4 linked regions of the Caenorhabditis elegans genome follow. The protein of the gene in region 1 interacts with the protein of each later gene in a pairwise test. Each region holds a gene or a part of one and is shown in the gene's direction. Other genes may lie near its edges.

Region 1 (5,260 bases):
TGCAGGTAGAATCTCATTCCAATAAAATGCTACCACGTGTTCCATGGTCTTCTGAAGTTCGACCATTCAAAGATTTGCATTATCGTGCGTGTGCCATATTCGATACCTGTGCTCTTCTGGGAAATCCTGATGTTCTCAATGCTTCCATCGAAAGTAAAATATAGAGAATGATATTATTATTGAAATTTCTATTATTTTCAGAACAAATTCTCACAGTCATTCCATATTTTACATTATCTGAGCTAGATGGTCTTAAAAACGGATCAGGACACACTCGAATTGTAGCTAATTGTGCAAATAATAGTATAAAAGATCTTCTGGAAGAGAAGAATCAGTACTTGCATGTCGAGACGAGCACAGAGCAACAGATTCAGATAAACGGCTTCAGTGCAAACACAACTGTTGTAGATGATTTGATTCTAAGAACTGCATTGCGAATAAAAAGAGAAAGTAAGTTTTTTTCTTAAATTAAGATTCGAGAATATACCACAATTTTCAGTAATGTCAATTCCATCTACAATGAACCTCAATGATCGTGCTATTATACTCGTCACCGAGGATGTGAATCTTTCAAACAAAGCACTGACTCATGATCTGCACGTTGAGACAGTTAAATCATTCATGGACACCATTCATGGTCGGAAGAAACAACAAACGGATTCGGATCAACTAAATAGTTCAAGGAAGTCTTCGAATTCTGATAGAAGACAAACTACTAGGAAAGAACATCATGCTAATTCTCATTCTAACAAATACACTAGCAACGACATAAAATACAAAAGGAACGAAGCTGTTAAAAGTGTAAAGAAACATCGCGAATTGGAAAGTTGGATCAACGACTTAGCCAAAAAAGATGCTGGTCGCAATGCTGGTTTTGTTAAAGAAAACAAAGTAGAGGTAACAAAAAATTATTATTTTGTAAATTAAAATATGTTTTCAGGCTCCCAGAAAATCTCGACCATCGATCCCACTAGCAGACGAGATCACTCTTCAACCGTCTTCCTCAAACTCGGAATCATTTAAACCAAGAAAGACATATCCCTCATCAACATATCAATCATCTCAAAATGGAAACGTAGTCAAGACGACCAAGCCAAATAGTAATCGCCCAAAAATTCCGTTAAGCCTTTCGGATGACGAATGTACCTTCAACGACAATATGGATTGTTCCTGAATATTGTTTCCTATTTATAATTATGATTTTTCTGCATTCCTGCATCCGGTCTCATTGCATGTACGGTGTACTTTAGTGAATTATTTAGTGAATAAATGTTTTTTATGTTTTTTTTTACTTCAAACTTAATAGAATACCGCTAAATCAATAGAAATGTTTCGATTGTTTTTGCTTTCTAAATATATAAATCCAAAAAGCAATCAGAAGTTTAAGAAGAGACACTGCAGAATTTCAAGAACGGGGGCTTGCTGATTAAAAAATTTGCAGCAAGCATTATTCACAAATTTTCTACAAACTGCTTTCATAAAGTTTATTTATATCTTTTAATGTTTAAAACGGCAATTTAAAGCACAGTAACTTTTCTTAATCAAAAATAGTTCGATAGACAACTAATTTTTCTCACAAATCGTTGTCTCCCGATAATCGATTCTTTTGTGTACAGAGAGCGCGCTCCAGTGAACATTCTTTTTTTGCTCGCGACGGAGACAGAAATGGAAATTCTCTGATAATTCGAGTGTTCCTTTTCATTTTTTTTTATTATTCCAATGAATAATTTGATGTTTGTATAACCTTTTCGATATTTCAAATAAGATTTAATGTTTTCTAGACTTTTAAGCGATTTCGTAATCCTCGAATCGAATTTCCGGCTGATTTATGAGACTTTAAATATATTTAAGTTTTCAGGTAATGTCTGGCACAGCAAGCTTAGTTCATACTCTGCCGGCCAGTGGTGATTCTAATCATCGTGGACTTCACAGCTGTATGTTTATTCAACCTTTCAAAAAACAATGCAATAAACTTTTCAGTGAAAAATTCGCGTCGTGCTGCCGATAATGAACCACTTCTTCGATTTCGAGAAGCTAAAAAGGTTCTTGGGGATGTCTATGGAGAACTGAAAGACAATGTGGCTGAACTAGAAGGTGTTTACAAAGGTATTTTCTGTTTTTTACTTCGCCGCAAATATAAACCCACAAAAGTTCCAGATATTAAAGAGAACGACTTTGTTAGTTCTGAACAGCGGGAAGAAATCGAAGCAATTGGCGATTCAATCAAAACTATAATGGACACATTTCAAAGAGATAACATGAAGGTTGTATTTTTCGGAAGAACCAGCAACGGAAAGAGTACAACTATCAATGCGATGCTTCATGAGAAAGTGTTGCCCCAGGGAATGGGACATACAACATGTTGCTTTCTGCAGGTGAGAATCACTTTTTTTTCATATTTTATTGTAAATTTTTGAAATTTCCAGGTTGAAGGTTCAGAAGGCGAAGTTGGCCATCTACAATTAGATGATAATCCCCAAAAGATTGATATGAAAATGCTTGGAAAAATTGGACACGCACTGAGTGACGAAAATTCAGATCTTCCGGCAATGGGACAGGATTCTCTTTTGAAAGTGTTTCATCCAAAGAAATCGGAATCAGGGGAATGCCGACTTCTTCAAAACGACGTCGTCATACTTGATAGCCCTGGTGTCGATCTTTCTCCAGAATTCGATAGCTGGATTGACAAACATTGTTTAGATGCAGATGTATTTGTGCTTGTATCAAATGCGGAATCAACATTGACACAAGCCGAAAAGAACTTCTTCCTTCGAGTCGCGAAGAAGCTTAGCAAGCCCAACGTATTTATTCTCAATAATCGATGGGACGCCAGTGCAGCAGAAACAGAAAACATCGAAGATGTAAAAAAGCAGCATTTGACGAGATTCCGTCAGTTTTTGGTCGATGAGCTTGAAGTGTGCTCAGAAAGAGAAGTCAATGATCGAATCTTCTTTGTTTCATCGAGAGAAGTTTTGGAATCACGATTAAAAGCTAGGGGACTGGTACAAAAAGCCTATCAAGCAGAAGGTCATGGCACAAGAGCCTTGGAATTCCAAAATTTCGAACGACATTTTGAGCATTGTATCTCTCGATCGGCGATTCACACGAAATTCGAAGCTCATAACAGGAGAGCTCATGAAATGATCGGAAAAATGCGGCTCAATCTGAATAGCGTGCTAACCTCTGCAGCTGAGCAGAGAAGCAAGCTTCAGAATAATCTAAACGAATCCACCAGGACTTTCAATGAATGCCGTGTAAACTTCACTCAATTTGAAAAAGCTTACCGTGAGCAGACAGAGCAACTGCGAGCCGAAGTTCATCTGAAAGTTTCTGCTGATTTCTTTGAAGAAATAGCACGACTTGATGCAATAATTGATCGATTTGAACAACCTTTCGATGGAAGCTCTTCCGGAATGACAAAGTATAAAGAGGATTTGGCAATCTTTGTGGACAAATGTTTGAGCAGTGATTTGGAAGCTAGATGTACCGGTGGCCTAATGTCAAGAATTTGGAATTTGGAGAATGATATGTTCCGTAAGTGTTTATCTGGGAACTGATGTGTTATAAAAAATTTTTTTTCCAGAATATGTGACAAAAATCCTCGCCGAACCTTATCAGAATAAGCTTGAAGAAGTGTGGCGATATCGTGCTCCTTTCAAATTTAGCATTTGTGTCGATGTCCCTGCTCTTGTCAAGTGAGTTTCGATGGATTTTTTGTGTTTCATTCTTACATTTTTCAGTGATTTCCATGAAGACCTCGAGTTCCGATTCACATTTGGTCTACACGCAATAATTCGTCGCATCATTGCGTATCGAAGCGGCCAACCTGTCACTGCAATCAACACCAATTTGCTTACTCCATTATCACTAAAACAACAATCCGAAAAGAATTCAGTGAGAGATGCAGAAGCTTCTGCAGCTTCCGAAGAACAGGCAATGATGACTCAAATGGTTTTGACATCAGCCGCATTTTTAGCAAACGGAAGTCTTGGAGTGCTAGTTGTTGGTGGTATTGTGTATAAGGCTGTTGGTTGGAGAGTAATTGCTGTCGGAGGAGCGGCCTACGCTGGACTATATGCATGGGAACGAATGCGCTGGAATTCGGGAGCCAAGGAACAACATTTGAAAGAACAGTTCAGATCACATTTAGCTGCTCGAATGCAACAAGTTTCAACAGCTCATACTCATCACTGTGAAACACAAGCTATCAGGTATTTTTTAAACCGTATAGTTTTCAATTCAATTTGTTGTTTTCAGAGAAATGGACCAAGTCTTTGACGGATTGAAAGCAACTGTTGGTGGAGTCCATAGAGAAATGAAAAACGATTTGGATGTACAGAAGACACAAATTGATGCAGTTGATTCAACAATTCGAACATTGGGAACAATCAAGTATGTCCTCTTAGATCTGTGTCAAGAATTAATAAAATTAATTTTCAGAGGAAAAGCAGTGTTTCTTCTCCGAAATCTCGAACAATTTGCATCTTCTTATCTCCGATCGGACTCTCCGCCAACGCCATGAAAATGACTAGTCTGAATTTAACTAATTTTGGTGCTTTTCCCCTTATTCACTCAGTCCTATAGCTTTTAATTCGAACGATTGGTAATCGGTTCAATGTAGATATTTTGATGAGCTGTTTTCTCGTTATTTCTAGACAATTTCAGTAGTTTTAGTGTTTTGATTATGATACTTCTATGAGACGAATAATAATTCGAATAAATTTTTGTCGTTTGATTTTTGAGAAGATATTCAATTATCTGTATTTATATTCATCAGAATTTCTATTTATGTGTTGTGGTATTTGAAAATAGGAAAATATAATTCAGGTATGAATGAAGACGACGATGTTGGAATTTCTGTGGAATTCGATCAATGCACGCAGGAGGTACTGTAGGGAACCAAATATAGAAATAGTTAGAACAAATTTCAGACAATGTTCTACAATTCTTGTCTAGAAGATCGTGACGAAGGAGGAAGCGGAGACATCTCACGTGCTGATTCTGCAGTATGTCTCACGACACCTAGAGATCCGTTTCCAGCTGTTCTACAGGTAATTGAAGATGAACGAAAACTTTTTATAAACTGTTTTTTTTTAGAAGTTCAACTCATCTCGTAAGAATCATCAAATAAAAAAGTTTCATGATAGCAATGTAAAACGATGTCAAGAGTACAGAAAGAGTATGGAACATCAAAGAAATGGGTAAGAAATTCGGATTTTCAAAAACGAATATTAATCATTTTATTTTGAGAACAGACAGT
Region 2 (4,674 bases), on another chromosome or scaffold:
TTTCTTACCCAATTTATACCTGTGTGTTGAACTTTGATCTCATTTCCCGTTGTGCCGAAGTCTTACCTGCTGAGCCATGATGGTCGCGCAAAAAGATGCACACTAGTAATAATATATCGTACTCATATTCTGATAGATATTTTTGAGGAAGTACCAGACATATCTGATTGATACGGTATTCTCACATACCTTGTTTCAGTTGTTTTCAAGTGTGCTCCCTAATGATTCTAAGTTCAGAATTTAGAGAATTACTGTAATTCGTGTTTGTTTCATGTCTCTTAATTTTATAAAAGTTTACATTTCAAAGGAACAGTTCAGTCTTAGAAAAATTCAAAATTTGATGCATAGGATTGACTGACTATTATCTGACTATTGGACTGACTAGGAGAAGAATCTTCCTGAAGATAACTTTTCTTTTTATTTTTAGATAAATTATATGGTTTATTAGATAAAATGGCAATAAAAATCAGACTCTGTTCGTACATTTTCTTTAACAATGTTAGCCATCAAAGAAAAATATTTAGAATTTGCCTTTGAAGGGACAAGTTTTCCTGTGAATTCTTTCAATTACATTGAAATTCCTCTATTGTAAATACAAATTAATCAAAAGACAAAGTGTCGATTTACGCTAAACATTGCGCATGTGGAATTTCGGAATCTTGTTCGTTCTTTACATCTGCAAACTTGGGTAAGAAGTTGGCAAAACTTGGCTAAGGCTTGGGCAGAACTCGGGCGAGGGAGTTTACACTAGAATTGCTGAAGTTGGGTAAGACTTGGGCATACTCTGGGTTAGAAGTTGGCAAGAGTTGGGTAAGAAGCTGAAAAGGCCCAAACTTGGGGAAGAAGCTGTCGGGAATTGCCGAGGAATTCTTTAGTGCTGAGACATCCGGAAAATGGTATTCGCCAGATAAGATGTTGTGGTAGGTCCTTAATATTTGGAGAATTCGCTGGTGTTGAATGGATTTTTGATTTGACTGAGCCAGTCGATCATCGTACGACGTGTTTGAGACATTGCATCGTTGATACACTCTTCTTGAATAGAATTTCAGCGGCATTTCAAGTAGCTTTATCAGACGTTTGGAGTTAGGGTTGTAGACCTCACATCCGTAATTCAGCAGCGGTTGAACGTAAACGTTGTATAACTTAAAGTACAAACTGACATTGGTAAAGCGAAAGCATCGAAGAAGCTGTCTACACTTGAGGAAAGCAGAATTTGATACATATTCGATATGTTTTTGGAAGTTTAGCTTGCAATCCACGAAAATGTCTAGATCGTTGACTGAATACTTTTTAATTATTTGTATTCCATTCGCATGATAATCTGTTCTTGGGTTGCGCTTCCCGAGGTGTATGACATTGGTTTTGTTCTCGGCCAAGTTTAAGTTTCACTTTGCACACCAATCAGTGACGACATTGATCGCTTTTTGCATAGAGTCCGAATTTTCACCGAGTATCTTGATATCGTCGGCAAATGCGTATACAAAAACATCCGTGGGGAACAGTTCCAGTAGGTAATTAATGTAGACAAGGAATAAGAACGGTCCACTGACCGTATCGCAAGATTATTTTGTTGGAAATCTTCAATTAACACCTTTATTCCAAATAACTATTTTTGGCATTGAGAGTGTTACAAGTTTATTTCAAGATAAACAATTTATAAATGTTAGATGTAAAAATATTTTTGAAAACAAGAAAGAACAAACACTGAGGAATTTTATTTTGTCGTGTAATCATCGAAATGTTTTCAGTTATTTCGATAAATTAATAGATTCTGTTAAAAAAACATTTTTTTTATTAAATTTTTCTTTTTAAAACGTCTTCCCTAACCCTCATAGTTTTCTCATTGCATTTCGCAACTCTCCATTTAATGCCTGTGCCGGGGCCGTGGCGAGAACTATTTGCGCAAAGCGCTCTACTGTACGACACGTTGACCAATCAACTGCACACACACGACGCGCAACGTCACACTCCCGCCCTCTGTACACGCATTTGACTCAGTTTGGAATCGCTCCCCATTCTGTACGGTCTCACAGACAAACCAGTGAGATTAGTGGATCGTCATGGCTCTCATCAAGTTGCTCCTCGCATCTTTGGGTAAGTTTTTGTTTTAGAAAATGTGAAGTATTCTTCATTTGGTGTTTTTGATTAGGAAAAAAGAATTTTATACAAAACTAATATTAAATTAATTAAAATTTTGCAGCGATAACTTCGGTATGTGGAATGTACTCAAAAAAGGATGATGTCGTCGAGCTGACCGAGGCCAATTTCCAATCAAAGGTTATCAACTCTGATGATATTTGGATTGTTGAGTTCTATGCTCCATGGTGCGGTCACTGCAAGAGTCTGGTCCCAGAATACAAGAAAGCTGCTTCAGCACTCAAGGGAGTCGCCAAGGTTGGAGCCGTTGATATGACTCAACATCAATCCGTCGGAGGACCATACAATGTTCAAGGATTCCCAACTCTCAAGATCTTCGGAGCCGACAAGAAGAAGCCAACAGACTACAACGGTAAGCAATTATCCAATTTCTTCTTAATAATTTACAAGCGGAAATTTGGATTGGTTGTCGACAAACTTGCACAAAAATAACTGAAAAAGGACAATAGTCACAAGCCGGTACGGCAAACAAAAACTGATTTGTCTCATTTCCACCCTCTCCCCACTCGAACTATTTTCTGTGTGCACTGTCGGTCAGTCAATTGAGCTGGCCGCAACTAGTTGTGTGTTTAGTAACTGTTTGCTCAGATATTATGTTTGGCCGATCCGCTCTATAGATGTGGACGACCTTGCGGCAAAGTAATTGTGCGTACCAGTCTATAGGGTGGAAGATAGGAGAGACGCCGGCCTCTGAGCGATCTGGGTCATTTAGAGCGTGCGTGTGTCTGTGTATGTGTGTAAAAAGACCAAGATGATATTGATTTATTTTTGCAGGACAAAGAACTGCTCAGGCAATCGCTGACTCGGTTCTCGCTGAAGCCAAAAAGGCAGTCTCTGCTCGGCTTGGAGGAAAATCATCAGGAAGCAGCAGCAGTGGATCCGGATCTGGATCTGGAAAGCGTGGAGGAGGTGGATCTGGAAATGAAGTTGTTGAACTTACTGATGCCAACTTCGAGGATCTCGTTCTCAACAGCAAGGATATCTGGCTTGTCGAGTTCTTTGCCCCATGGTGCGGACACTGCAAAAGCCTTGAGCCACAATGGAAGGCCGCCGCTTCTGAACTCAAGGGCAAAGTTCGTCTCGGAGCTCTCGACGCCACTGTTCATACTGTCGTCGCCAACAAGTTCGCCATTCGTGGATTCCCAACCATCAAGTATTTCGCTCCAGGATCTGATGTTTCTGACGCTCAAGACTACGATGGAGGACGTCAATCTTCTGACATCGTTGCCTGGGCTTCAGCTCGTGCTCAAGAAAACATGCCAGCTCCAGAGGTCTTTGAAGGAATCAACCAACAAGTCGTAGAGGATGCATGCAAGGAGAAACAGCTTTGCATTTTTGCCTTCCTCCCACACATTCTTGACTGCCAATCGGAGTGCAGAAACAATTATTTGGCTATGCTCAAGGAGCAATCCGAGAAATTCAAGAAGAACCTTTGGGGGTATGTTTTATATAATTTTACAAAATTTCATTCTAATTTAAATAATTTCAGATGGATTTGGGTTGAAGGAGCCGCTCAGCCAGCTCTTGAGGAGTCCTTCGAAGTTGGAGGTTTTGGATATCCAGCCATGACTGCTTTGAACTTCCGCAAGAACAAGTACGCCGTGCTCAAGGGATCCTTCGGAAAAGATGGAATCCACGAGTTCCTCCGTGATCTCTCGTATGGAAAGGGACGCACTTCTTCCCTTCGAGGAGATGGATTCCCAAAGATTCAGAAGACTGAGAAGTGGGACGGAAAGGACGGAGCCCTTCCAGCTGAAGACGACATCGACTTGTCTGACATTGACCTCGATAAGACCGAGCTTTAAAATCATGAATTTTCTACATACATCGACACCAAAAACTTACTCTCACCATGCAATTTTGTTTTAATTGTAACGGGTGTTCTCACCAGATAACTCGTCTAACTGCGTTACATCCATACATGTTTTGTGACTTTAGCGATTTTTCTCGTATTTATTTATTTTTGTTCTCTGTTTTGTTAAATAAAGTATTTCAGGAAGCTATGGATTATTAAAAGTGAAAATCAAAAATCTTCGGTTGAAGGTTTTCAAATTCTTGATTTTCTTTTTCAATACGGAACTAAGGGTTGAGAAATATTTAATATCGATGTAAGATATATTTTTAATAACTTTCAGCTGCTAGAGCAACTTAATAATTCAAACGTTACCAATTCAATTACTCGGGCACAAAGGGATACAAAACCAAAGAAGCAGAAAACTTGTGCTGGTCAGATCAAATAAGTAAAATTTGGTGATTTTCACCACTATTAGTCAAGAAACAAAGTTATGAACTGATATGTTTAGATTGTTTTTTTTTCTGGTTTATGTTCACATTCAACCACACCATTTGTTCTGAGCTTTTTCAAGGTTACGTGCTCCTAGTTCATATTCATAATTCATATTCATTTTCATTTTCATATTCATATTCAAAAGAGTTGTTTGCGATTTTTTAAAATAAATTTCCGAAATGTTGATTGTTTCAGAATATTTTACAGATTCTTTTTCAAACAAGACGTTT
Region 3 (7,461 bases), on another chromosome or scaffold:
AAAAGCAAGTCCCGCGCTAGACTTCACCTCAATCCGTCCCGTCTGTCGACCCACCCGTCCACCCGTCAGACCGCCAGAGGCTGTTTTATATCTTGGGAAACGGTTTCCGTCCGGCGATTTGATTATTTCTTCTCCCTCTTTTCTCTCATTCAAACAGTGTGTCCTGAAGTGATTGTCGCAGAAATGAGGCAAACGAGGTAAAGACGAGGGAGAAGGCAAGGCGGAGAGTTCAGAAGTGTAGACAATTCCTCCTGTGCATGCACTGTCCTTTTCTACACCATTCTTCCACCGCCGTTGTGTGTTGCACGTTAGGGTGCATTCAATTTGAGGAAACGCAGAAACGGAGAGACAGTGCGCCCTCGCACTCGCATACGGAAAAAGGACTGCCCGGGGCCGACAATGGTGCGCGTACAGGGCCGCATAACGTCATCGTATGCTAACCTCCCAATTACGCCACGGGCTCATGGGACTATTTCCTTTCTTAGAAACAAAATGTTTTTCCTTCACATATAATGTCTTTATTAACATCATCCTGATCATTAGAGTTGATCATCATGTACTTCTTGTTCAAATCTCTCTTGGTTTGTGGCTCAATGAATTACGGCACGAGCAGAACATCACGTGGCACTACATCATTTCTGCTTCTGGGACTACTGCCAGCGTTTTTCATAAACCATGTGTCCTCACTAGATCTCATATAAATTCCATTTGTAAGAAAGAGAAAAACCTCACTTGTCGACAAGAAAATCAAACTAACCAGCTGATGTGTGTTGGTTTTCGACACCAAAGCATCGGCCGATGATTCAGAGACCTTATTTTTGTTGCTTTCAATTCCAAAACGAAACCAGCCACCTGTTCCCTGTGCTAGAGAACGTGTCCCAAATGTTCGAGAAAAACATGAACCACGCTGACAGATGTTTTTGTTACAAATATATTATATTTTGTTCTTAATTCGAAATATTTCCTAGTCGTGCTCCCGTTTCGTTTTTCTGTCATCCAAGCATATTAGTATACACAAAAGTTTGCAAATATGTGTTCCTTGCCTGTCCTCCTCTCACTTCCCACTCGTAACTACCATCGATCGCTCTCTCCCTTCACTGTATTTGTGTTAGCGAGCACACTCATTTGCTCGTCTCCCCTTCTCGTCCGTCCACCAGCACCCCCCCCCCCAAGTATCACAAGGGAAGGCTATCTCCTCTATATATTTTGTTCTCCATTTTCCTCTGTATTCTTCTAGTCTCGTGTTGGCGCCAAAAACCCTACGGCGTCACACAAACACTGACAAATACCACACACTATTCTTGGTACAAGCCATTCTGAGGCCTATTGGCAGCTTAAGCTCGTTTTCCATGCCCCGCATCGGATCCCCTTGGGATCTGTCGCATCAAGGGCATCCACCAATCATCCTGCTTGTTGGGGGAATCTGGTGCTCTGTTGCTGTCAAAACTGACAGAAAAGGAATTATGCACCAACAAAGAGCATGTACAATTGTGGTTTTAGACGTTTTTTTCACTTGGTTTTTTGATTTTGTATTTTGTGACTTGATTCTCATCACAGTTCTTTCTTATTCCCTTTGTACTTGAATCCAATTCTTGTTCATAATTTCATAATTTCAGGGTACCTGCTTGCCATCAACTTGGACTAACGTGATCGGTGCAAAACGTGCTCAATCGCTTTTGAATCAATATCTAGCAAATCTACTCACCAACAACTGAACGTTTCCATCCTTTTGTTGTTTACGTCCCTCTTTGGACGCCAAAGAAAGAACTATGGACTACCATTCCAACGGGAATGGAATCAATGGGATGAATGGTTCAAGTCGTCATTCGGCGGATGGACCGTCCACTCCAACTCACTCTGGAAATGGTCATAGTAACGGAGAAGGAAATAGGTACGCTTTGAGTGCTCATCGTAACGTTGTTAAGCCGTTAGGTTCAAACTTTGGAGCCAGTGGCTCTGCAACAACTTCCACCCCAAAATCAGTTATCTCCTCGCTAACCTCTGCATGTAACAACTCGCCTGTCTTATCATTCACTCGTGGTGTGCTTCGTGCTAGTCGTAAAAAGATTCGCCCATTGTTTTCTACATTTTCCACCTCGTCAAATACTGGATACTACCGTTTCGAAAGCCCTTCGTCAAGTTTGAACGCCTACTATCCTCAAGAATCGTTCAATGGACCAATCCTCAAAATGATCACATGCACAGAGTCACCACCGAGAAGTCTGGATGTTTTGAAACGCTCGAAAAGGTTTTGCTTTTTGCTTTTTGGGTGTGGATGTCTGATAATTTTCAAACTACGGCATGATTCTTTCCCTCTGTAACAGCTTGAACTTTTTCACCGCACCTCTGTTTTTGGAGCTGAAATTTTGTAGTCTCATGCATGCCACCGCCTTTTTTAATGCTCTCACTACTTTCAAAAAACTAACATTCGAACTTTATTTGAAGGAAAAAACTGAATGTCTGTACAACTCTTGTTATTAAAATTTTTGTAAAATATCATTTTCAGCACTTATTGGGAGACAGCTCCTGCTGAAATGGTTGAATTGGCAGATAAGTACAACTTCACTATCAACGAAGGTAGCAGCATCCAGCAAGAAGCTCTTGAACTTCGATCTGTGATTCGGAAGGATTTGACCAAAAAACTGAAGATCAAGAGTGGATATAGTCGTATCAAGCTGATCACTTCGGATCGTCGTCAAAGCGAATTTCTTCGTTATGAATTGTCTGATTTAAACGAGCAAATTGCGGATCTTCAGGAAGATCTTCAGGCGTTGGAGATGTACAACAGTGGAGCTTTTGGTAAGACATGCAGCAAATAAAACATTTCGTTTCAAAATTTATCTTTCAGATGAGGATGTGATGTATTTGGATAACCTTGAGGATTGTGATGTGGAGAATGGACCACCAAGTAAGCTTGTTATTCTCCAGCTTGAATTGGAAAAAGAGTTGAAAGTGAAACGAGGACTTGAGCAATTTTTGCGTGGAGCTCCAGACAAGTCAAAAGTGCATGGTGACTCACAGAGTCTTCTTGACGATAGTCGCGCCAAGATTGCAATGCTCCGTATGCAAATTGAACGTCTTTCACAAGAAGCACCAGCGGTTGAAGGAGAGCCAAAAACTAAAGTTGAGCTTGCCATCGATGATCTCATCATTCGTTTTCACAAGGAGAAGCTCATCATGGATGGTTCCCGAAACATGATCCGTATTCTCCGCTCAAAAAGGAAGCCAGATAGCAAAGCTGTCGATGAGGCCATGAACAGCTATGTTATTGCTTCGGAGAAAGCCGATCTCATCAAGTTGGCCTTGCTGAAGTATGCATCCAGTCTTCCACTTGAACACGATCACAGAAAATATCTTATTGGAGAGATTAACAGTGGACTCATCCCAAAACCACCTTCTCTCAGCCAGGATCGTAACAGTCCATCCAGCGAAGATGGTGGAAACGGAACTTCTACATCTCGCCGTTGCAGTTTCATGCCATATTCTCTGCAAATCAGTGGATGTCTTGAAGTCACTATCAACGGCTGCGCTGGTATTCTCAGCGAGGTCTTCGAGCGGAAAATCCGCAAAGATGTTCCCGGAGTTCCTGGTTTCATTTCAGTCTACGGAATGGATGCGTCTGGAAAGAAGAAGAAATCTGCAAGAGGTCCAAACAGTTCAGAGGAAGTCTTCTGTGTTCTTCGTATTGACAATCGTTTCATTGGAGCTACAGAGTTGAGAAAGATTGTTGATCGTAATTGGGATCAGAAGTTTGATGTTGATTTGGATCGTGTAAGTTCACAGATAGTGAAATTGAAATACATATCAATAGTACATACCTGAGTAAAAATTAAATTCTTTCAGTCTCGCGAACTTCAAATTGAACTCTTCTACCACGATGACCGTTCCATGTGTGGATTTGCTGCAGTTAAGCTGTCTAATCTTATTGAGACGTCGTCCAAGGTTGGAATTATTGTACCTGTTGAGCCACAAGGAAACATTTTTGTTCAATTCAAATACATGAACCCAGTGGTGAGCCGCAAGCCAAAACTCGAACGTCAGAGACGTTTGTTCCGCGTGAAAGGTGATTGAATAGCATTGCATAATGTCCTATGTCAACTATAATCTTTTTCAGAATCGAATGATGGAGCCCGTCAGAAACTTGGCGTCTTCGCGTTCTCGCGTCTCATCAAGAACAGAGGAAATGAGCCAAGCGAGAAGTTTGCTGCTTTCACTGGTATGTCATCACCAAGAGTTCACATTCCCTTTTTGCATAGGCTCAGTCATGCATGAAGCAGTGACTTGCTGATTTTAGATTTACTTGTATAAATAGATATTTACGGAGCTTAAAAAGCGCAGTTTTTTAAAATAAGCCACTATAGTTGTTATTATTTTCATGACTAAATTTGAAATGGATGATCTCCCTATTAAAAATTTCATCAGAAAGTGATTTCATTTTACATTTTTTGTTTTTTACCTTGTAACAATTTCAACAACAATGTCGAATTCCAGGATTTACTCCAATGCCTTCATCTTCATCTCAACATCAACCCGGCACATCATCTTCTGGCCCATCAACATCCTCGTCAATTGCTTCTACTCCTACACCATCCACGTCGAACTCGCTCTTCGACAAGGTCAGTAACCACTTGCCTGTGAGTAATTTTGGTTTTCTAATCGTGTTTGTACAACGTGCCCATAACCAGCTATCGTTTATATTATGTCAGTGAAAATTTATTCTATAGCCTTTATGATAATTTCGCTTGTTTTCGATTTGTGAACTGTGTTTTCTTCTTGAAGTGGTTTTTGGAGTGTTGTGCTAACATTCTTGAAATGTCATGTGAATTTCTCTCAATTATTAAAACTTGCAGAGCTTCAACCCAAGAAAGTCAGCCAAGAAGCGTGAGGCCAGAGAAGCAGCTGCAGTGGCGCCAATGACTGCTGCCGTTGCAGCAGTCAATCTCAACGCTCCTTCAACCTCCAATTCTATGCAGCCATCAACTCAAGAACGTAACCTGGTTGTTGATGAGTTCCCAACCGACCGTTCTGGTCCAAGTCAAGCACCGCCTGTGCCAGCCGTTCGCCACATTGATTTCTTCGCCAGCAGCGATGGTGCGCCGCTGACTGTTGAACAATTCAGATTGATCAGTGTTCTTGGACGTGGACACTTCGGAAAGGTCATCTTGTCACAACACAATCCAACTTCCAACTACTACGCCCTCAAGGTACTGAAGAAGGGAGACATTCTTGGAAGAGACGAGGTTGAGTCTCTGATGGTTGAGAAGCGTATCTTTGAAGTATCATCCCGAGCACGTCATCCATTCCTTGTGAATCTCAACGGCTGCTTCCAAACCAACGAGCACGTGTTCTTCTGCATGGAATACAGTATGGGTGGTGACTTAATGCGTCACATTCACGATGACGTGTTTGATGAAGTTCGTGGATGTTTCTATGCTGCATGTGTCGTTCTTGGACTGGACTTTTTGCACAAGCACAACATCATCTACCGTGACATCAAGTTGGACAATCTCCTCTTGGACAGAGAAGGATATGTCAAAATTGCCGATTTTGGTCTATGTAAAGAGAACATGGGACCATTTGACAAGACTAGCACTTTTTGTGGAACTCCAGAGTTTCTTGCTCGTAAGTTTATAATTTATCCATTGAAAAATGTTAATGAATGTTCTTTTTCAGCTGAAGTCTTGTCTGATTCTTCATACACTCGTGCGATTGACTGGTGGGGACTCGGAGTTCTTATTTTCGAAATGCTTGTAGGAGAGCCACCATTCAGTGGAGATGACGAAGAAGAGATATTTGACTCGATTATCTCCGAAGACGTTCGCTATCCAAGATATTTGTCTGTTGAGTCGATTGCCATTATGAGAAGAGTGAGTTATAAACGAGCATGATGTCATTGAATTACAAATTTATTGTTTCAGCTCCTTCGCAAGGTGCCTGAAAAACGTCTTGGATACGGAGAGCGAGACGCTGAAGATATCAAGATTCAACGATTCTTCCGTCACATCTCATGGGAATGGGACAAATTGCTGAATCGTGAGATTCGTCCACCATTCCAACCACAAATTGTCAGTTTTTGTTAAATGTTCAAATAATTTACTATTCTCTTTCCTGTTCTCAACATACAGTTTCGCAATTGAGTCATTGTTATAATTCAATTTTCAGCGCAACCCAGAAGACGTGTCTAACTTTGACCTGGAATTCACCCAAGAGAAAGCTCGTTTTTCTGCTGCTTCGAGCACTCGTCCAATCACTGAAGCCGATCAGCGTTTGTTCAACAATTTCGACTTCTCCATTGTTCCATAAGTATCATAATTTGTCACCGGTTTTCTATTGATCAACTTGTACCATGGGATTTATTTCATTTCTTGTTTCTACTTGTCAAGGTCTTGTTTTTTAAACTGTCAACTAGTATTGTCAAAAATTTTGATTTCGCTTTCTATTTTAGTTTTTTCTCCGTATTTTTCAATTTCGTATTCTCGTTTAACGATTTCTCCTGTCTGATAGTTGTAATTTCTTGTGAACTGCTCTGTGATCAGACTCCAACTCAATCTTCCCAAAATGTGTTTCTTTTTACTATTTGCTAGAATATTTCAAAAAATATTCTTTCATCTGCATTGGTTTTTTTAATTCAACGTCATCGTGTTTTGTCATTAAGTAGTTTACCCCGTCTCTATTTCCGCTTTGTAATCCTCAAAAATTAACACATTCTGTTAAATTTCCACCAAATTATTGTATTGTAACTTTTTGTAGACCGCTTGACGAGTGCGCTTATTCTTTTTTTTGTCTTTTTAGTCCAACAGACTTCCCATTTTACATCCATTTAGCCCCTCTTTTCAGCCATTGGTATATACTGGCCACTTTTTATTTGTGTTTTGTAAGAAAAAAAGAAAAAAGAAAATGACTTTCTTTCTTGTATTTAGGAGACATGAATAAACAATTTGTCAAATACATTGCGTAGTTACAAATGAACATATTGGAAACTAATTGAAGTTGGCTCAATATGGGGAAAATGTTAAGACAATTTTATTTACACAGGTGGTTGGACAATGAGCACACGAGATTGATTATTGCATTCTCCGGCTCGCTCCTTTTCAGCATCAAACTGTACCAAAATAAGAAAATATGTGAAAATTGCAGAGAACAACTGAAATATTTTAAATATCAACTAAAAACCAGCTGCACGCCTTTAAACGTACACTGATCATAATTTTGCGATTCATCATGAAGAAATTCCCGGCGGTGAGAGTAAGCTTTGTAGCATGCATTTGAAACGAAAGAAAACTCATTTGAGACTGAAAGTAGAATTGATCGATTTTTTTTTGAGATAACGAACACACCAAAACTAGAAGATCACGTTCCTCACATAGAGTTTCGTGATACATTTTGAAAGAAGCGGTTAGAAGTTTGTCGCCCTGTAATTATTAATTTTTATTTGTACAACTTAATGTTTGGATATCAATT
Region 4 (4,354 bases), 2.4 Mb from region 1:
CAGTTTGAATAATTCAAAAAATTTAATCAAGGCTTTTGACGATTATTATTGTTTTAAACTTACAGTTTCCTTGCTGCAACGACGAAGGATTGCGTGAACTGGAGCAATTGGATCAAGCAAATTGTCGACGCGAATAGCATTTTTAAGAGCAACCTCAATTGGATCCAAATCCTTTTGACTGACGAGAATGACTCCCGGGGAATCAATAAGACGGATATTTTTGTCCAACTCAACTTCTTGAATTTCTCTGAAAATAAATTTGATAAGCTTAGAAAAACAACTGAATTTAACTTACTTGGTGATTCCTGGCAGATTTCCTACGTTGCATGCCTTTCTTCTCTTCAAACTGTTGATCACACTGCTTTTACCGACATTTGGGAAGCCAACAACTCCGACGCGAATGCTAGTTTTAATGTCTTTGTTTCTACAGTAATTAGCAAGAATTTTCATCACAATGTCGGCACCGACGCATTTCGAGGTCTCAGTGTTGTTCAAAATAGCGCTGTTGAAACGGCCAATATTCGACTTTTGCTCTTGTGTTGAAGCCTTGAAAGCAATTGTCGGGAATTGACCGCGAAGATACTCGAGCCACTTCTGAACGTTCTCACGGGGCACCAAATCGATTTTGTTAAGAAGAAGAACCAATCGCTTTCCACCTTTTAAGACCTGATCCTCTACAGACTTGCTACGACTGCCGAGCGGATCTCTGGCGTCAAGTACTTGGATAATAACATCAGCAATCTCGACAGTCTTCCTAACTTCACTGGCATAAGCCTTGATTGTTTTGTCATCCAAGGTGTTGAACTTCTCATGTTCTGCAGCACTGGCAACTTTCTTATCAAATTCGGTTCCTTGTTTCGATGCTTTTGCGACCATACTTTCAAAATTGGCTGGCAAATTATTTTTTCTCTTTTCGATGCGATGAATTTTTGCAGCTTCTTTAGCAGCTTCCTGACGAACTTTTATCTTCTCGCGCTCCTGCTCTGCTTGGACCAGAATTTCTTCTTTGAAAGGACATGAATTCGGAACACTGATAGTCTTTTCTTTTTTATTAGTGGTTCCTGTAATAAAAAATTTTCCCATTATTTCAATAGCCTTATTTGCATTCTTTAAAACTTTACTTACCATTCTTTTTAGCCTCCTTCTTCACTTTTCTGTTATGGTCGCGAACTTTCTTCTCAATTTTGTAGCGCTTGGCGCAGCTGACTCGCTTACTGGTTTTTTCTGTAAAAGAGGTATTTTATAATATTGTTACAAATGTATATCAACTTACTCAGACAGTATTTCGCCATTCTCTGCTGACTGTTGGTTTCTTAAAAAGACAAATTGATTTTTCGACAAGAAAGAGGAAGAGAAACAAGAAATCGTAATATATTTTATATAATTAAATGTTTATATTATTTATTTAAAACGTTTTTCGAAAGCAAAACATAACATGTGAAAGAAAATCGACAAGCAAGGCCAGAAAATAAAAAGAATGCGAGTATAAATTAAAGGGAGGCACGTTGGTGAACTCAAGTGGGTCTCGCCACGAAACCAGTATTTCCACAGATCTTTCTGGCTCCCGCTTGAAAACTGAACGTTAAATTTAAAAGCTATAGAATTTCTAGAAGAATTATTATTTGTTTCTATATTTTCATCAAAATTAATGTAATAAAAGTTCGAAAATAACATTAGAATTAAGTTTTAAAATATTATTCCCTCTATCCGTAAAGTTGTTTTATTCATTTCTTCTGAGAGTCTGACTTCAACATCATAATTTAATTTGCAGATGCCACCAGCAGTTCCAGCCGCAGCTGCAACAGCCCGACAATCGGCTTCCGGTCGCGAGCGCAATTTCAAGGATAAGGACAAGCCAGAGAGTGTTCGCAATAGGTGAGCTTTGTTCCTTTTTGTTTTTAAATCACTAGTTCATTTTCAGTAACATCGTTGCTGCAAAAGCTGTTGCTGATGCCGTCCGTACATCCTTGGGTCCAAGAGGAATGGACAAAATGATTCAGTCCGGGAATGGGGATGTTACCATCACCAATGACGGGGCTACCATCTTGAACCAAATGAGTGTCATTCATCCAACTGCTAAGATGCTCGTCGAACTTTCAAAAGCTCAAGATATCGAAGCTGGAGATGGAACAACTACTGTCGTTGTTATGGCTGGAGCTCTTCTTGATGCTGCTCAGAACCTGCTTTCTAAAGGTATTCATCCAACTACCATTTCTGAATCTTTCCAAAGTGCTGCTGCCGAAGCTGAAAAGATTCTTGACGAAATGAGTTCACCAGTCGATTTGTCAAATGACGCTCTGCTCAACAAGATGGCTACAACATCGTTGAACTCGAAGGTTGTTTCTCAACACTCATGGTTGCTCGCACCTATGGCAGTTAATGCTGTCAAGAAGATCATCAATTCAGAGAACGATTCCAATGTCAACCTGAAAATGATCAAGATCATCAAGAAAATGGGAGACACGGTTGAAGAATCCGAACTCATCGAAGGAGCTCTCATTGATCAGAAAACCATGGGACGTGGTGCTCCAACAAGAATTGAGAAAGCCAAGATTGGACTCATTCAATTCCAGATTAGCCCCCCAAAAACTGACGTGAGTTGATTGAAGAAATTAATTTTTTAAATTCGCATTCAAATTTCAGATGGAAAATCAAGTTATTATCACTGATTATGCTCAAATGGATCGTGCTTTGAAGGAAGAACGTCAATACTTGCTAGAAATTTGCAAGCAGATTAAAGCTGCTGGTTGTAATGTTCTTCTGATTCAAAAGAGTATTCTTAGAGATGCTGTCAACGAACTCGCCTTGCATTTCCTCGCCAAAATGAAGATCATGTGCATCAAAGATATTGAAAGAGAGGATATCGAGTTTTATTCAAGAATTCTCGGTTGCCGACCAGTTGCCTCTGTCGATCATTTTAATGCTGATGCACTCGGATATGCTGATCTTGTGGAAGAGATTCCAACTGGAGGAGATGGAAAGGTCATCAAGGTGACTGGTGTTCAAAATCCAGGACATGCTGTCTCTATTCTTCTTCGTGGATCAAACAAGTTGGTGCTTGAGGAGGCTGACAGATCTATCCACGATGCTCTTTGTGTGATTCGATGCCTGGTTAAGAAGAAGGCTTTGTTGCCAGGAGGTGGAGCTCCAGAGATGGAAATCGCTGTAAAACTCCGAAATCTGGCACAAACCCAACACGGAGCTACGCAATACTGCTGGAGAGCATTTGCTGATGCACTTGAGCTCGTAAGTTACATTGAAAGTAATTAAAACCAATGATGGTTACGTTATACAGATTCCATACACACTTGCCGAAAACGCAGGATTGTCACCAATTCACACTGTTACGGAGTTGAGAAACAACCATGCTAATGGAAACAGTTCCTATGGAGTAAACGTACGCAAGGGATATGTCACAGATATGGTTGAAGAAGATGTTGTGCAGCCACTTCTTGTTACAGCATCAGCTATCAAGCAAGCATCGGAATGTGTTCGATCAATTCTCAAGATTGATGACATTGTAAGTTTATTCACAACTTATTTCTTTTCTACAACCTTCTGTTACAGGTCATGGCTGTCCGCTAATCAATACCTACGATTGACAAAGACAGTTCATAATACTTCCTGCTCTACCGCCTGACGAAAATTGTTACTTTATGGTTTTGCTTCATCCCAATAAGGTCTCTTAAGATGATGTCAAGTTTTAATTGCCCATCATGTGTGTTTAATACCCGTAAATGTTTTGCTGCTTTTCCGTTTGCATCCTATCCCGTTTTTTTCTGTTTTCAGTTTTGATAAAGAAATGCCTTCAACCGTTTTAATTTTGAAATACAAAGTGTAGAATGTTGAGACATGTTGAACAGACGTAACAGTTGGTAAATAACTTCAGTTGAAAGGCACACCTTGAAGTTTTGATAAAGTTTTGTTTTAATTAAAAACGTGTTCACGTGAACCCAGTGCACGTGGCAATCAAATTTCGAAAGCCGATCAATTAAAAGTTATTTCTTTTTGCCCCGCTGCCCGGAGGAGAGCCCGTTTTTGATGCTTTAAAGGTAAATTTCAAGATATTTAAATAAATTAAAAAAAATATATATATATATCATCATTTACTATATATAAAGCGCGTGTCCTTCTGTCCCTATGTAGTTTGATCTCTGATCAGAGCAACGAAATTTTGGGAAACCTTATGCTAAATGCGCAGCAGACATCGATCGAGGTCCGCGATAGACACCGTATATCTAATGTGTTTTCTCAAAAAAGTCGGGGGCCGCGCCGTAGGTGCGGTCCACGGCTGGTATATATATATTTCCGAGCATTTTAATAGCTGAAACTTTAGCATTTCGAGACTGACAAA

Evidence for each region.
Region 2: the proteins of fzo-1 (region 1) and pdi-6 interact in a two-hybrid assay, tested with the Caenorhabditis elegans proteins (one large-scale study listed by BioGRID).
Region 3: the proteins of fzo-1 (region 1) and pkn-1 interact in a two-hybrid assay, tested with the Caenorhabditis elegans proteins (one large-scale study listed by BioGRID).
Region 4: the proteins of fzo-1 (region 1) and cct-4 interact in a two-hybrid assay, tested with the Caenorhabditis elegans proteins (one large-scale study listed by BioGRID).

Annotation. Positions count from the first base shown.
Region 1 is NC_003280.10:5,832,802-5,838,061, reverse strand, and holds fzo-1 (Transmembrane GTPase fzo-1), read left to right. Parts: upstream 1-1,858; 5' UTR 1,859-1,861; coding exon 1,862-1,934; intron 1,935-1,980; coding exon 1,981-2,106; intron 2,107-2,157; coding exon 2,158-2,375; intron 2,376-2,426; coding exon 2,427-3,534; intron 3,535-3,583; coding exon 3,584-3,695; intron 3,696-3,740; coding exon 3,741-4,211; intron 4,212-4,257; coding exon 4,258-4,392; intron 4,393-4,440; coding exon 4,441-4,522; 3' UTR 4,523-4,734; downstream 4,735-5,260. Other genes in the region: ZK1248.15 (WW domain-containing protein), read left to right, coding at 6-153, 202-450, 500-897, 941-1,174; gtap-1 (Dynein heavy chain 7, axonemal), read left to right, coding at 4,830-4,886, 4,932-5,051, 5,098-5,201, 5,251-5,260. UniProt on the Caenorhabditis elegans protein: Probable transmembrane GTPase. Mediates mitochondrial fusion. Fusion of mitochondria occurs in many cell types and constitutes an important step in mitochondria morphology, which is balanced between fusion and fission.
Region 2 is NC_003284.9:7,065,827-7,070,500, reverse strand, and holds pdi-6 (Protein disulfide-isomerase A6 homolog), read left to right. Parts: upstream 1-1,937; 5' UTR 1,938-2,060; coding exon 2,061-2,094; intron 2,095-2,200; coding exon 2,201-2,509; intron 2,510-2,591; exon of another isoform or gene 2,592-2,732; intron 2,733-2,931; coding exon 2,932-3,595; intron 3,596-3,646; coding exon 3,647-3,962; 3' UTR 3,963-4,159; downstream 4,160-4,674. UniProt on the Caenorhabditis elegans protein: May function as a chaperone that inhibits aggregation of misfolded proteins. May negatively regulate the unfolded protein response (UPR) through binding to UPR sensors.
Region 3 is NC_003284.9:10,395,627-10,403,087, forward strand, and holds pkn-1 (protein kinase C), read left to right. Parts: upstream 1-1,615; 5' UTR 1,616-1,769; coding exon 1,770-2,248; intron 2,249-2,506; coding exon 2,507-2,799; intron 2,800-2,848; coding exon 2,849-3,771; intron 3,772-3,843; coding exon 3,844-4,063; intron 4,064-4,114; coding exon 4,115-4,216; intron 4,217-4,491; coding exon 4,492-4,634; intron 4,635-4,850; coding exon 4,851-5,622; intron 5,623-5,673; coding exon 5,674-5,867; intron 5,868-5,918; coding exon 5,919-6,065; intron 6,066-6,162; coding exon 6,163-6,303; 3' UTR 6,304-6,950; downstream 6,951-7,461. Other genes in the region: gur-3 (Gustatory receptor family protein 3), read right to left, coding at 7,028-7,144, 7,197-7,292, 7,338-7,412.
Region 4 is NC_003280.10:8,281,897-8,286,250, forward strand, and holds cct-4 (T-complex protein 1 subunit delta), read left to right. Parts: upstream 1-1,770; 5' UTR 1,771-1,771; coding exon 1,772-1,875; intron 1,876-1,921; coding exon 1,922-2,594; intron 2,595-2,643; coding exon 2,644-3,246; intron 3,247-3,295; coding exon 3,296-3,520; intron 3,521-3,567; coding exon 3,568-3,585; 3' UTR 3,586-3,815; downstream 3,816-4,354. Other genes in the region: nst-1 (Guanine nucleotide-binding protein-like 3 homolog), read right to left, coding at 64-247, 296-1,061, 1,126-1,224, 1,274-1,292. UniProt on the Caenorhabditis elegans protein: Molecular chaperone; assists the folding of proteins upon ATP hydrolysis. Known to play a role, in vitro, in the folding of actin and tubulin.